3 linked regions of the Caenorhabditis elegans genome follow. The protein of the gene in region 1 interacts with the protein of each later gene in a pairwise test. Each region holds a gene or a part of one and is shown in the gene's direction. Other genes may lie near its edges.

Region 1 (6,272 bases):
AAAACTTACAAAAGTTTTTCAACGTCGTTTTTTGCACATTTTTCGAATTCCGTTCAGCTTCAATACATTTTTTTTCCAAATTGGGTTTCAATATAAAAAAAAAACGTTTGAAATTTCATACAAAATGATGATGCATCATCAACATGTTGTATGCACGGCTTCTTCCAAGTGTTCACTTTTCACTTTACACCGCTTCCCCATCTTCTCTTCGCCGCCGGCTCCGAGGATGCGACCCGTATCTTTCTTATGTGGAGGGAGCTATTTTAAACTCAAAACTACTTTTTCGAAAATGAGCTTCTCAATAGACTAGTACCCTTTGCTTCGTCTTCTTCTTTTTTAATAGTTTCTTGAGAGGTCATCTACAATCCTTTTGAACTACTTTCAAAAATGGACAGATGCCTGCTCATTTTTTTGAAATTTGGACTCATTATAAAAGTATTATTTCGTAATTTACCGAACATTTAAAACAAAAACTCCTTCAAATCAAAATAATTTTTCCGGTTCTCTGTAAAATTGAATATTAATTGAAGCAAAAACTATAGTTGGGCTCCGAAAATCGCAAAAAAAGAAATGGAGGACATTTAAATTTTCGGGAAATATTATATATATATATATATATATATATATATATATATTATTAAATATTATTATATTATTCATATCGCCTCCACTACACTTTTGTTCATATATTATAATACATTTTTCATTTTCTTCCCAAACCAACAATACGTTTACCGCAACTTAATCGTTTGCCAAAACAAACCAAGTTCCCTGATTTCACTGATATGTGTGATAACAATGTGAGTATGGAAAGTCAAAATGAGCACAAACATAAATGTGTGAGAGTTGTGTGTAGTGTCTTGTCGGGGAGTGAAGAAGGGGGCTCCATGAATAAATAACACATTCTTCTTTCCCGCTATTTCTCAATTTTTTACCCGAAATCTTTGTACAATCACCCTATCCGCCCATTTCATCCCTCGTTCGTTTCTCGCCTCGTTTACTTTTACTCATACATTTTTTTGTCTATCCGTCATTTTCCTACCATTCTACATCCAACCTAACCTAACCATTCAATTTATTTACTCTATCTGTCTATGTTTCTTTGTTTCGCCTTATCTATCATTTATGCCATACAACTTTCGTTCCCGTCCAAGGGTGAAACTTTCCAAAAAGCATAGAATTTGGAAAGTATTTCCAAATTATAAATTAAAAAAAAATTTTGTTTTGTCTTAAAAGTTAGAATTATAAAGATTAAGGTTCAGCAAAGATAATACCTCAAATTGACAGATTTAATATTAAAATTTTCCGAAAAACCCAAATTTGATTTATTTAAACTGGCAACTTTTAATTTTACCACACATAATTTTATAAACCCAAAAATATATGTTTTTATTCTGATAGGGTAAAAATATGTGACAATTCTCAAAACTCTTATGAATTTTACCAATTTTTGCCAATTTACAAAAACATTATTATGATTTCTATTTGTATTTTTTTCTAGTTTATTCAAATATCTTCAATCTTCATATTCTACAGTTTTTATTTCCAGAAAATGAGCAAAAAGTGTGCTCGCGAAGATTGCGGGAAGACGGTATATCCAGTTGAGGAACTGAAATGTCTTGATAAAGTTTGGCACAAGCAATGCTTCAAATGCACTGTTTGCGGAATGACATTGAATATGAAAAACTATAAGGGATACGACAAGAGACCGTATTGTGATCCGTTAGTTTTTATGAGAATATTTCAATTTCTAAATTTTCAACTATTTTCAGACATTATCCAAAAACCGTGGCTTCAGTGATGGCGGATACTCCAGAAATGAGAAGAATCGCAGAGAATACTAAAAATCAGAGTAACGTAAGTTTTTGCAAAAAATTTAGAGAAAAAATAAATCGTCTCCCCATAAATCTCATTTATAATTAAAAAATATAACATTTGAGAATGTTATCCCAAAAATTGTAAAGAGTTTTTAAAATTCTTCCAAAAAATATCTGTAAAATATTTGTAAAATCAAAATCAAAAATATTATAAAATCTACACAAATAAATTTTGTCGAATTCGGCACTTAAAAAATTTGTAGTGGTGTCAAATTATGGATTCTCAAAAAAAGGATCTCGCCACGGAAACTACTGTAAATCAAGTTTTCTTGAAGAGTTCTAATATAATGTTCATCTTAGTATATAATGAGAATTTTCCATACTAAAAATGTAAAAATTAACTCAAATTTGAGTTTATAAAATATACGAAATTTTCAAATTCTTCGAGTTTCCAAAATTTCGAAAAAACACAAAAAAAACTATAAACAAAATAGCTAGTTTTATTCAATAAAACCTGCTACTTCCTATAACTGATTTTCAAATTTTCATAATCTGAAATTTTAGATCAAATACCACGCCGAATACGAGAAAATGAAGGGAACAAAGATCGAAATTGCTGATGATCCAGAGATGGAAAGACTGAAGAAAAATACTCAGGTTGGAAATAAATTTTTAAAGATAGAATAGAATAATGCTATTTTAAGGTTCAATCAAATGTTTCCTATCACGGAGTTCTCGACCAAAAAGCTCGTCAAGAAGAAGTCCGTCCAAAAGAGGAAATCTCACCAAACCCAACTCCAAGTAAGTTGTTCTTCCATTTTGTTGTCCCCATGGACTTGAGAATTGTATCGTCCAAGTTATGTCAAAAGTCTTGCACGGGAAAAACTTTTAATTCTTTTTTCAATTTTCCTCACTTTTCTCTTATTGTTTTTGTATCGCTTTTTACTGCCAGTTTATCAACTGGTCACTGGAAATGGAGGAGTTGTGTATGGAATTGGAGTGGCAATGGTTCAAGAAACTGAAGAGAAGTATGAAGAAAAAGAAGTTGATGAGGAAGAAGAAGACGATGATTATTGGCAAATTCCGGTGATTGTATATCCTAGATAGAATTCGCTTTTTTTTTAGAATTAGTTTTCAATGTTTCTTTTTTCATATTTACCATATTCTCTGAAACTGTACTGGAAACATTTTGTACACTTTTGGCACATTTTGAGGGGAAATATGGTATATCGATATCTAGATTAGATACGTTTTGTTTGTTTTCTTCTACCTCATCTTTGCTTTTTTCAGCTAGCCATAATTCTAGAGCAGATATTTATAATCAATCTTAAAGTGTTCTTGCTCAAAGCTGAAAGAAAATTACTAAAGACTCTCGCTTATTGAAAATTGTAAAAACTATGTGGGACAAGTTCTTGCCAAATTTTGGCAAAAGTATTAACTTGGTTGTTGCTCTAGGTCGCGCCAATATTCAGTCCAAAATTGGTCTAACAATATATATAGCCAAATTTGACATGACAAATTTTGAATCAAATATTTTTATCAGGATTAGGTTAATCTAAACTTAAGTTTTGTCCAGATTTGGACTAAACTTTGCCAACTTTTCAGCCAGGTACATACTTTTTTAGGCCAAACAGATAACAGAGTTTTCTTCTAAAAAAATAACACTGTTTTTAAAGAAGAATATCTTAGATGTTCTACAATTGAAAAAGCAAACTTGCAGTGTTGTTTCTAGAAAGCTGAATTCTTCATTCAGTTAGTATATAGAATTATAGAAAACTTTCCAAAATGGCTTTGAGTGAAAATACTTTTTAGATTGAACTTTAATTTTCAACTTCTTTTCGTGTCATATCAATGTCCTAATGTTCACTTATTTCTCAAATCTCTTCATTTGTTTCATACAAAATACACCTTCAGGTGTTGTTGTTCCACCACAACCCACTGAGCCCACTCCAGCTCCATCCGTCCCAGTTATTGACCAAAAGCCGAAAGCAGTCAAATCGACTTTTAAGAAAGGGCCAGCCAAAACTGTTAAAGCTTAATTTTCCTTTCAGTTCGATTTCTGATCATGACTATTATTTTTCTATCTATTCAAATCCTACATTAACCATGACAAACTGATTTTTTCAATAAAGAATACATTTAATTAAAGAATTATTTCCAACAAATCAATCTTCTCCATTTTTCAACTCACTTTTTTTTTCCACTAACCATTTATTGCAGCTCCAATCTCTCCAATGAACCATCAATCATATTCGGCTCCAACACAAGCAGTAGCCGCAAATACGCATTTGATCTACTCAACAGAGCAAGGTGGAGCAGGTTAGTTAGCAATTGAATTGATTAATGAGCATCCAAAAAGAGCACCTTGTGTATTGAAAAACTGATTGAATGCCTATAAAAGTTATTGCTGATTTTGTTGCTGATTTTTGTACGGATACATTATTTGACCAAAAATTAAGATAATGCTAGGTCTCAGTCTAAGCCTAGCCTAAGTCTAAGCCTAAGCCTAAGCCTAACCTCTTAAAAAGTTACAATAAGGTTTTTCCTTGCGCTTGGAGCGCAAAAGAAAAGAAAAAGAGCTATTTAGACTTAGGGTGCCCAACTGGAATAAAATATAGGAAATCCTTATGACACACTTAAGCCTAAGGGCCCGAAAAAAAACTAGGATGCCCAACTGGAATAAAATATTGGAAATCCTTATGACACACTTAAGCCTAAAGGGCCGAAAAACATACTAGGATGCCCAACTGGAATAAAATATTGGAAATCCTTATGACACACCGGCGGTATGGCGCGGCTTCAGCCTAAATAGCCACTTTTATCGCGCGTCAGTGGGGGAGCTAACGCTCCCCCACTGACGCCAAGCCTAAGCCTTGTCTAATTTATGGTATCTAGTTATATAAAGTCCAAATTTTTCGTTGTGCTTCATGTGTAATTTTCTAAAAGCTTTTGTGTTGTGCATTGTTATTTTTCTTCGCTTTCAGTATCTCCAACACCACAAAAATCAATCGGAAGTATTGCTGACTATGATCCAATGAACGGACAATGGGGTACAGCTGCTGCTCAACCGAGAAATTCCGAGAAACTTGGATATTTGAGTAAGGATTTTGTTTTTTTTTTTGGCTTTTGTTTGAATGATTTGCTCATTTGTAATCCACACAAATTTTTTGCACGTTTTGGTACTTATTAATTCGTTTTGTGGAAGAAATAATCTTTTAAAAAGCTCATTTTGAATAATTTTGATCTGTCATTAATTGAAACTAACCGCTTGTTGCAGAGGCTCAAGTGGATAAAGGTCCGGCAAGATTTTGTGCGGATTTTGCAGGAGCTCCACCTCCATCATCAAATAGTATATCTTCAACATCTCCACATTCAACACTTTCTTCTCCACAAAGCACAATTTCACCGACTGGAAAAGCTGGATTTGCAGTTAAGGCAATTTATGATTACGCTGCTGCTGATAAAGACGAGGTAAATTTAAATTAGGTTTTCAACCAGTTTCACGATGAAAATTTATTCAACCATCTAAAATATTTGATTCCAGATTTCATTCCTCGAAGGTGATATCATCGTGAACTGCGAGAAAATTGATGATGGATGGATGACAGGAACAGTTCAACGAACTCTTCAATGGGGAATGCTACCTGCAAATTATGTTCAACCACATAAACTTCCTACCGGATTGCACCGACTTTCTTAATATTTCCAAACCCACGCACATTTTCTATCTCTCCATGACCTGCTCTTGCTCACACATTTCCCCTAAATGCTTCAATTATGCTTCAGGCTTCTGCAGTTATTTTTTCAACTTTCTGAAAATCCCACAAACGGGTTCTGTTCACCTTCTGAATGCCTTTTCTCCATTTGTTTTTCAATCTTCTAAAATGTTATATGGTGCTGAAATTTAAAAATTAAAAATTATAATAAATGAATTTACTATCAATTATTAGGCCATTGTCATAAATAATAAACCGTGTCTATAAGGCACATGAGAACAAAATATACAGATCTAAATTATACTAATCTTATAATATTAGAAAAAGTCTCCAGCATTTGCTCTATCTGCAGCTCCGGCTGATGTTGAAGGTCCGACGTTATCCCCTTTTCTTCGGATCATAGATTCAATCCCAGGTGTGCCAGGAGTTTGTGCTCCTTGGCTCCAAGATGATCCAGGTGTAGTAGAACCACGACTCCATGCAGAACCAGGAGTTGTGGATCGCTTTGAACTTGACGGTCTTGACCAATTCGACATGATTTTCGGCGAGGCGAAAGGAGATTTGTGAGCAGGTAACATTTTTAATCCAAGCTTCTTGGTTGCCAACTTTTGAGCAGCAGGAGATAATTGTGCAAGCTTGTCTGAGACTCGCTTGGATCCAAATCCAGGTGTTCGGCTGAAACTTTACCAAGTTGAAAATTATTTGAAGTACTATTATCTCGTTATAGATTTTAATACCA
Region 2 (5,195 bases), on another chromosome or scaffold:
CTCAATCTTCTCCAGCTGAGACCTAGCCAGCAGGTGCCACTATGAAACCACGAAAACATCAAAATTTTGAAATCGATAGTAGTTGTTTTCGCCAAAAAATGTACGGCCGCAAAAATATTGTACTCATAGAGTAAACTGACCTTTTACGGGTCGCCAACACATCCAGCTGTTCACTTTACGACCTTTTTCACACTTGTCGTCATTCCCACTATGGATGTTGTAAATCTGGCAGCGTAATAATGTAAATACACTAGAGTTCATTGATTCGGCGGAGATTTTTCAATTATCACTCTAGTGAGTCATAGAATTCTATTAACGTTTTGCATAACTGAAACTAGAAAAATTTTAAACAACATGCAAATTGTTTAGTAAATTCGGTTTTTCAGGACATCCATGCAATTGCCTTTTTGTGGGATTCTCTTTCTTAAGAGTTTTGCTTTTAATAGTTCCAAACAACTTATTGAAACAAACAATAACGGAAAATGTGAGAATATGGTTGCGATTGAGCAAATTTGAATTAAAATATCAAAAATGCAGACAAATGAATCAGACTCTAATTGGAACTTATATCCCCAAGAGACAATATTCCGCACTAATTTGTTTCTCTGGATCATGCTGTTCTTTTGAGTTTTCAACCAAACTGGAAATTGTCCAAACTATAAATGTATGCAGAAAATGCAATTTTTAATTCAATTGATGTCCATAACATATATTCGAGGCGGAGTTTTTCTCGAATTTCAGTGAAGTATAAGAAAAATTCTACCACAAAAAATATTTTACCTGTAAATCTGACTTTTGGTAATTAGTATTTTCAAAATATTTAGTAATGGAAACTTTTGACAAAAAAAAACTGAAAGTATAGCGACTGAGGAGCGTTTAAGACTTGAAAACACTAGGAATAAAATTCTGTTAGGAATTTTGCGGGCCTTATTTTTCAGGTCGGCTTTATATCAGCTCATAGTGTTTCTCTGTTGCGATACTTTTGCATAAACCTTTTTAGAGAGTTTTTTTAAAGTGAGTTTAAAAACTTTCCTTGTAAGTTAAACAATGCTTTATTGTCGAATTTTTGTTGCAGAAGTTAAGAAATGTGGTTTTTCGCCCTCGCAACAAAAATGGTGCTCTTAAAATGTGCAAACCTCAATCTTTTCATTTGAATTATGAAAAACCATTAATTAAAAAAAATTACTTTCAAAAGTTCAAAAATGCCTGTAGCACAGAAAGCTTCATGACATCTTGTTTTAAATTATGCTTAAATTTGCGCAAATATGATCTCGGTGTTTGTATTTAAGTAAAAATGAATAGTTTCACATTCAAAATTAATTCTCGAAAAATAACTTTCATGCCTCACAAATATTACCACCGTCACTAGGTCACTCTGTGTCCATCCCCCGTGTGTTGCCTTCTTTTTTAGACTACGGTAAACAAATGTCGTAGAATTCTGCGCATCGGACGCAATGCAGATTTTTTTCTTTTTCACTATCTATGTTTTACAAATTGTTTTTATTTGTTTATATACCACTGAAATCTTTTATCACTAATATATACATGAACATTTAACACTATTTATTTTGTTTTCAGGGAATTTCACCTGCGGAAAATGGAGGAAGCTGATGCTTTCATCAGAGACGCTTGCCGACATCTTGAGTGGTATGTTTTTTGTCTGAAATCTAATTTTATTCTTTAAAATATTATTATTTTCAGCTCGTTTGCTGATGAAGATGAAATAGAATTCAGCACACCTCAGATTTTTGAGTTTTTAGTAAGGTAATATTTATTATTTTTGATTTCGTTTTATTAATTTTTTATTCACAATATTTCAGATGTATTTGGAAAATAGATAATAGTAGTAAACAAACAATTTCGTCATATGTATATCCAAAAGTTATAACTACCAGGCTGCAACTTGGAAACGCAATTTCTAACTATCTGCAGGTAACGTCAACCCCTGACTAATCTCAACTTTATAATTCCTTTCATTTCAGAAATTTCACATTCGCGGAGACACCGCCCTTCACACAGTTTTATACGGCAATATCAACAATCTTCGCAGTGCATTCATTGAACTGATAAGGAAATTGCCGGCCGACGCACAAGAGGCCGTTTCTCTAGGTAAACACTAATCTTCACTTCATTAAAAAAAATTTAAAAAAAAAGATTGATTTCAGACCAGGGTCATCAGTTTCTGGAAAGTGTAGTCAAACACGAGAAATCACAACCAGAATGGGTTCCTGTGTACTGTCGTGGATTGAACAGAAATCGGGAATGGAAATTGCCAAATGTGTGTGGAATTTTTTTTTTGAAATTTGAATTGAAGCTAAACTCTGAAACAAAAAGCCGAATGTATTGTTGTACCGACATTATTCATTAATAATTAGTGTGAAAATATAGAAAAGACGATTTATCTAAAAAAAAGTTTCACTTTAACTGAAGCACTTGAGAATGTACTCAAAGGTAGCTTGAAATTTAACAATTGCCAATTATCGAATTATCAAACTTGATTGACATCCTTCATACCATTTTTGAGCACTTTTCAAATTTCTGAGCTTGATTGAATGCTAATTTCAAATTATCAAAACTTTTTTCTGGACTCTGACATTAATTGTCTAATTTTCTATGAAACAAACAGTTTTATTTCGAACAAGAACTTGAAAACTTGAATTTAGAGTTTTTAATCTATTTTTTTCAGAATACTCCGGAAACCTTCCCACTTTGCAACTTCAATAAACCCATCCCAAACTCTGATCCTAGAAAATGGATTTCGCAATACATAAACTCCAGTCACACAGAGAAAGACTTCAACTTCAAGCTGACAAAGCCTGCACTTCCACCAAAGCCAATTTTTGCCAAAAAAGTCGATAAGGAAGAAGAAACTGTTGAAGAAGCGACGGAAGAAAATAATGAAAACTTAGTTTTACAAGCTGAATATGAGCAGAAACTTGCAGAGTATAAAGCTGTTAGTTTGTCATTGAAAGTGTCAAAATTTCATACTAACTATTTCAGTTACAAGAGAAACGCTCGCAGTTTGAAGAGCAAAACAGAGAGCTCGAAAATAAGCTATCAAAATACAAGCCAGAACTTATTGAAGCTCTTGATGACCCAGAAGCATACGTTCAGAAGTTGATGGTTAGTTGCTAGGTACATCTAGTTTTGAGATAACTTTTCATTTTCAGGGCAAAATTGCTGAATTAAATAAGCAAATGGAAGAAGACACGCAGATAATTGAGAACACAAAACAAGCCAATGCTCAGAAGAAACTGCAAATGAGAGAGGAACTGAAAAACTTGGTATGAGAAAATTATGCCTTCAGAAGTTTAAAAAAGTTTAAATTCCAGGGTACGGATGATGAAGAAATAAGGCGAATTCAAGAAATGGAAGCAGATTTGGAAGGTGTTGATGAGAGGATTGAAAGTAACGTGATGTTAGCTGAAAAGCTTGTAAGTTTAAGTTTAATCAGCTGTAGCCAAAAAATCTTTGAATAACATATACGGTAATATTTTCAGAGAAAGAAGCTGTCAAAAATTGATGATGATGTGCAAAGCATGTACGTACTCGAGCAAAGAAGTAAAGAACTGGATGCGATGGTTCGGAAACAAGAGCAAGACATGGTGAAAATGCAAGAGGAACGGCATGCACTCCGAAAGCAAGAAGAACGAGAAAGCGAGGCGGTCAACAGATCGTTTGCTATCATCTACAATATTCTTCTTCAGGTTAAAATTTCTTGCTCTTATTTCTCGCATAGTTATCTGAGAAGGGCTGTTTTAGAAGGGTCTTCCATGGAAAAAAATAAAATAAAATAAAATAAAACTTTCAGAAGAATTTTCAGTATCTATTTATGAGCGGCCTTGTAATGTATATTCTTGGATATTTTCCGCTATTTTTCAAATTTTAAAGAAAAAAATTAATTTTTTTTGCGCGTCCCAGCTTTAGGTCTTGATTGGCCAATTGCGTGATTTTTAGAATATGCGCAAAACAAAAAAAATTTCATGGTCAATGTCCATCAAAATTTTTAAAGGGGTATTTGGACGATATTCCCAAGTGCACTACTCCTATTCATTTTAACTATTCATATTTTAGCATTGCGATCATTATCGTGGACGCCTGGCCATGGAATCATTCACACGAATTCATTTGTATTGCATGGAGATTCTGGAGATGTTAAGAGAAAACGGTGCTCTGAAACAAGCAGTTGGAATCCTTCAATCAGAGGTTTTTGCTCTTTTTTAGTTGTTTAAAGTACAATTTTCTTTCAGATTTATGTCGAGGAGCAGAAGCAGTACGACAAACAGTTTGAACTGTTGCATCAGGACTATCAAGAAATCAGCGACTTGAATGACCAACTGTTTTCTGAAATCCGTCTCAAAAAGCCTGACTTCCAAATGCCAACCACCTAAATGCAACTCATAATCGAAATTTTTTCGTTTTTTTTTCATATCTTTTTAAGCATATCTTTGTTTTACGGATTAATTTGTGATCCTGTTTTTTTTAACTTTTGGATAGGAATAACCTTATACTGTGATCAAAGTTGGATCAAACAAGCATATTTTTGTTCCTCTCAACGCTCCGCTGTCATTTGCCATTCACTTCATTTTTTTCTAATTATTTTATTGACTTTTTGTTTGTTTGTGTGTTAAACCGAAATGTTGTAAGAAAATTTTTTTAGTATCATTCTAGTTCAATGAAAATTTTCTTTGTAAACCATCTTTAGATGAGTGAGCGAAAAATTAAGAGTCTTATCAACGGGAAGAATTATGACGTCACTTTTTTTTCAAATGTTCAAAGCTTCCACTGATTGTCGTTTGAATCAAAATGACGCTCGTAATTTTTAGGGGAACAGGTGTGGTTCAGCACTTTTTGATAATTTTTAGAGTGCGGTGAAAGAAAAATTTGTATTATAATAGGAAGTCAAAAAAATTGGGTAACAATTTTTAGTGAACATTTGTTTCTAAAAAAAGTTTTTTGAAAGAAGTTCAACATGAGTTGCTCCGATGTTGTTTAAAACCAATCATATGGCGCCAAAAATACCATATCACAGTTAAACTTTTCCAGAATTTTTTTTTCAGTGACAGGCAACAAGTGGCAATTACTGAGGTTTTGTCACTTTTTGAGAAAACTACAGCACTGTCGCATGTTCGATTCTCTACAATGTTTGAATATTATCGTTCGGAACATAATTAAACCGTAAAAATTGAAGGAAT
Region 3 (4,922 bases), on another chromosome or scaffold:
GACTGTGGCCGATAATCCTGTCGTGGATTGCTCCACTTCCCAATAGAGGCTGGGTAAACCTAGGGGGTGAGGCCGGACTTGAACTCGTGACCTCCAGACTGCTAGCGGCCACCACTACCGACTGAGCTATCTGCCCCCTCGCATTTAACTAAAATGCAAATATGCTCACTGGTGTGAGTGTCTAAACAATAAGTTTATTCATAACTGTGAAAAAGATAACCTCCGTGAAAAATTTTCTATATCCTACATACAATAGTTTTTTTTTTAATTTATTATCGTTTTCGAGCTAGTAGTCAATTTTTCAGTTATTTGGCTGAGTGTCCACCATAATATTTTTTCAAAAGTTTTTGAGTTTGTAACTATAATTATTAAACAAGTCTTGCAGAACATTCTTAACAAGCTGTACTTCACACTTTATTGCTTTCACTGTACCGTTTCACCATTCAATTTGGGAAGCGTTCGATCAAAAAGTGGTGACAAGGACACCCATACATGTACACCTTATACACTGCAATGGCGTAATAATTATATGAATCGTGTAGCTGCTGGAGGTTATCGAACAAAAAAAACAGGTTTCAATCCTACTACCAAATATGATATGTTCTCTTCTCCTCTATTATCACTATTATCACCCATCATCATGTATCATTTTTCTCACTTTTACGTCAAGACCATAACCGATTTATGACTTCTCAACGCTGATTTACAGCCAACCTAACGGAAAGTATTCGGCTATAAAATGATCAGGTATGTGTGTACGTGTGTTGACAGGAATGAGTTATCAGTGTGGTGGAATTCGCAGTGAGGAATACAATACAAACATGGTTAAATCGAAAATTTCCTGGAATTTTAGTGCTAGCTGAAGATGTTTTAAGTGCCCTAACATACAGTTTCGCAACAGGTCTTTGATTCTGATCTAGTACCGTTATACTTAAAAACATAAGCGGTAGAATAGGAATAAAATAATTATCATTGGTTTTGATGATAAGAACAGTTTTTGTTTCTTTGCGTGTGCACTTTCACAGCTCGGCAACCCCACATTTGTGACTCAACGTGTTTGTGCAAAATGAAATGTTCGATTTTTTCTACATTAGTTTTTTTTTGAAACTTTAAAATATGTTCTTTCTAACTGACGTTGAGATTAGTTCATCCCCTTTTTAACTGACGACTCAATTTATAAAATAATAACTTGCATCACCATATTATCTCTGCATAATTAAAAATGTTTCTTTTATAATAGTTTTAGTGCAGGTTTTCAGTTCTTTAGAGAATATCATCACAATTTAATTAGGTATCCCAGAATTTGCGTTAGAAAAGGAAATATAATTATTAGGAGAAAAATAGATTTTTCAAAACTTCAAGTAAGGTCGTTTGACGGCGACAATCCTTTTTCTCAATTTTTCAGCAGATTTGTTGCAGATTTTTAGTACTTTCTGAAAATAATTTTAAGATCTCAGCCAGATTTAGTATTATGGCAAATATTATTTTTTGGCGATTTTTTAAAATTTTCTCAAAATTCAAACGTAGAAATTATATTTTTCTCCGATGTTTCAAAAAAGTTTTTTTAAAACAATTTGTTTTCATCTTTTCTCGAATGTTTTTTGTAGTGTTGTTGACAATATATAAGTTATCCGAATGCTCTCTTGTTAAATTAATAAGTGCAGGGTAAAAAACTGCTTATTTCAAGGGTTAAATTTTGTGTTCTGGTTAATAGTATTTTAAACCCTACAATTTCTTTTTGCCCTATTCAAAAACTATTGCAGTTCAAATCGAAACCTTACACTTCATGAAAGTTTAACTAAACTGCGATGACCAAAACAAACATTTTGCATATTATACATTTTGTACGCCGCAACACATCCCAACTCAAATAACTGATCAAAACTTGTAGAGCACTTTCCGATACTCCTCTGCTCGAGGACATGATCTCCCCAGACTCGAAATTTGTGGGTGAAGCTCTCGAACAGAAGGATGTTAGGACTGTATTTGTCTCGGCGAAGGAAGGTTGGAGTCTTAATTATCTTGAGAATTTTACTGTTTTTTTTTTCAGACAACGAAGAACGCGAAAACCGGGTAGTCTTATTGTTAGGACCAACAAGTTCTCAAAAGTCAGAACTTATCGATTTTTTGTGTAATTATTTTTATGGAGTGGATTCAATGGATCAAAGGAGATTTCACATTTCCAATGAAGTATTACAATTGTAATATGAAAAAGTAAGTATTGAATTGCAGAAATTCAACTCGGAAACTCCTACAAAACCTGTACAGTGCTATATTTTTAACGAAACAAAAATGTCGGTTCGTCCTGTAATTCTGGATATGATCGCGTGTGGAGATACATAGTAGGTTTTTTTTTCAAAATTGGGAAAAAATCATAAAAGTTGCAAATTCCAATGAGCATAATAAATTATTCTTAGAATTAATGTTAAAACAAGAAATAGGATATCTACCGACTTTGGGTTTCTGGTACAAATTAAAATTAAATTAAAACTAAATTGGCCAAAACTTTACCATTTTCTTGAAACTTAGAGCAGTGTCAAATGTTCAAACCCAGTTATGTATTTAATGTACTATTGAATGTAGGCTCTTATTGGGAACAAAAGGACCGTCCCTCTAAGTCCCTCATAGCAGTCATAATCAAATGTACAATTTTGCTGTGGCGATGGAGAGGTCCATGTCATTTAACCACTGTCTTCTACCATTAGGCCAACAACAGGTCGTAAAATCTCGACTTGTTATCTGGTCGTAAATCAAAGTAAATGTAAACAGGACTAAAAAGAACTCTTCTTGTTTTATAAGGTGTTCAATAGTTTTTGGGGTTTCTAGGGACCTTACTTTTAGATTTCTATAGGTTTTGAATTCATTATTTCGAAATTATATGATTTAAATTATCGGCAACTCTTCTGTTCAAAATTCTAAAATTGCAAAAATTTTAATTGTTGAAGATTTCATAATAGGAGCATAGCTTACGTTTTGCATTTTCTCAGCCATTTTTTTGTGTGTTTTTTAACACTTTATTGAAAATCTTATACTATTTTGTTTTTTTTTAAATACGTGATAATCATTTTATTCCTTCCAGATAAATGATCCTAGTAGTTTAAATAGCCGTACGACGGGTGTTTCTTTTTACAAATTTAGCCAGAACTTGTAAAATCCTCCTCTGTTAGGAGCTTTTATGATGATAATATCTGTCTACTTTGGTTAATCTACTAAATTAAAAAAAATACATAATGTATTTCAATTGTTTATTGCAATGTATTTCAAAATTTTTTAACCACTAACTTTACGAAAAATGCAGAAAACTCTTAAGACAGTAATTTTTACAGTACAAAAAATATACAACTTGGATTAAAAAAATACAATAATAATTAAATTTCAGTGATGGTTTCGATTCGCCATCTTTAATACATAAATGGCTTCTTAACAATTGGAAGATGAGACTGGACGTTATTGCAATTGTGTTCTCACAGTTGCACAGAATGAGCATGCACGAAGAAGACGAACTGCAACAGGTATCTAGAACTTGACTTCAGATCCTACTTTCACATTTCCAGGTTCTCTCCAATCTTCCAGAACATGTACGCAACAGTATTGTTGTGTTCATCACAGCGTCCGACGGCTCCAGAACTTTCGAGCCTCTTTTACGAAGATTCGGTTTATCAGAGTGTCCCAAGTTCACTATCAACACGTCTTGTACATTTCAAAAACAAATGGGTGAGTGTGATTGAAATTTTTGTATTGATTCAGCGTTTGCATAGCTTTCTCGCGCCGTGTTAAAAGTTGTAAACAGACCGAATAGTTTTTGGCATTGAGTGCTCTCGATAAGAATTATCACTTTCCATCTCTCTCCATTTTTCGCCCTCTTTTCTCGTAAAACGTGACGACCATTTAAATCAAACATTTTCGGGCTGGCGAATCGCTAGAAAAATAAACTGCCAATCCGGCGATATTTGTTTTTTCCTGTACCTACCAGTGTGGGAATTGCAAAGAAAACGTTCTAATAATTTCAGAAGATCGGCTGAATGACGAACATCGGAGGAGATATTGGAAAATGTCTGTAAATCAATTCGATTCTTTCATGGAGAAAGTACAGGTACTTTTCAATGGCACTTTTTTGCCTAAATAGGAGATATTTACAATTTGGACCTGGTATCTTTTGAAGGCTTGAAATTGTTTGATTTCTCAGCCAGCTAATTGTTCAAAACTTTCAACTGATATGTAGTTGATAATTTGTAAACAAAAGTGGAGTATAGAAACGTTTTTGTATTGCCTCAAAATACTCATAATAGCTCCCAAAACCTATCGTGATGAAACATTGCAAAAAAATTCACAACTCTTTTTAACTTAAAGGTGGAATAGCGCCAGTGGGGATTTTGTCTAAATGTACTTAAAATTACCCGAAACAACCGAATATCATAATAATACACTCCAAAAATTTTAGGTTTTTCGTAATTTTCAGTCAAAGTTTTGGCAAGTTGTCAAAATTTTCAAAAATACGAGCTTTTGAGGAAATCCAAAGCAATTCCGCATGTTTCGACACCTCCGATGCTTTCATACAAAAAATTTAAACAAAATTAAAACATAAAAAATGTCGAAAAAAAATTTTTTTTTGGTCGACTTCCAAAAATATGAATGGCAAAAACTGAGTAATTTCCACTCTTTGACAGTACATAAAAAATTTTCAAAAAATGTTTGAAAAGTTTTATCATGATATTTGGTCATTTTGGGACCAAAGGAGTGGTTTTTAACAATTTCCAAACAATATTTACTTTGTGGATAGTGGTACATTTTCAGCCAAGAAGTATTGCAATTTTGGTGTCTAAAAACTACTAAACTTAAGAAAATTTTTAAATTTCAGGAAACCACCCCAATCACAATCTCGGGTCTCCCATTTGTGGATGATGGTATCTATGGAGTTCAGG

What was found. The genes of interacting proteins can lie anywhere in the genome.
Region 2: the proteins of F42H10.3 (region 1) and R08E3.3 interact in a two-hybrid assay, tested with the Caenorhabditis elegans proteins (one large-scale study listed by BioGRID).
Region 3: the proteins of F42H10.3 (region 1) and tag-343 interact in a two-hybrid assay, tested with the Caenorhabditis elegans proteins (one large-scale study listed by BioGRID).

Annotation. Positions count from the first base shown.
Region 1 is NC_003281.10:8,482,606-8,488,877, forward strand, and holds F42H10.3 (LIM and SH3 domain protein F42H10.3), read left to right. Parts: upstream 1-1,547; 5' UTR 1,548-1,552; coding exon 1,553-1,722; intron 1,723-1,772; coding exon 1,773-1,857; intron 1,858-2,381; coding exon 2,382-2,474; intron 2,475-2,521; coding exon 2,522-2,618; intron 2,619-4,037; coding exon 4,038-4,136; intron 4,137-4,801; coding exon 4,802-4,915; intron 4,916-5,094; coding exon 5,095-5,288; intron 5,289-5,361; coding exon 5,362-5,517; 3' UTR 5,518-5,760; downstream 5,761-6,272. Other genes in the region: Splicing factor ESS-2, read right to left, coding at 5,851-6,214.
Region 2 is NC_003284.9:4,817,021-4,822,215, forward strand, and holds R08E3.3 (CCDC22 N-terminal domain-containing protein), read left to right. Parts: upstream 1-1,572; 5' UTR 1,573-1,597; coding exon 1,598-1,647; intron 1,648-1,701; coding exon 1,702-1,764; intron 1,765-1,820; coding exon 1,821-1,932; intron 1,933-1,982; coding exon 1,983-2,109; intron 2,110-2,165; coding exon 2,166-2,278; intron 2,279-2,686; coding exon 2,687-2,953; intron 2,954-3,000; coding exon 3,001-3,123; intron 3,124-3,170; coding exon 3,171-3,284; intron 3,285-3,332; coding exon 3,333-3,434; intron 3,435-3,500; coding exon 3,501-3,707; coding exon of another isoform or gene 3,708-3,797; intron 3,798-4,074; coding exon 4,075-4,206; intron 4,207-4,250; coding exon 4,251-4,391; 3' UTR 4,392-4,695; downstream 4,696-5,195.
Region 3 is NC_003284.9:16,671,733-16,676,654, reverse strand, and holds the start of tag-343 (RNA polymerase II-associated factor 1 homolog), read left to right. Parts: upstream 1-1,922; coding exon 1,923-2,004; intron 2,005-2,050; coding exon 2,051-2,190; intron 2,191-2,232; coding exon 2,233-2,342; intron 2,343-3,379; coding exon 3,380-3,512; intron 3,513-3,554; coding exon 3,555-3,714; intron 3,715-4,010; coding exon 4,011-4,093; intron 4,094-4,858; coding exon 4,859-4,922.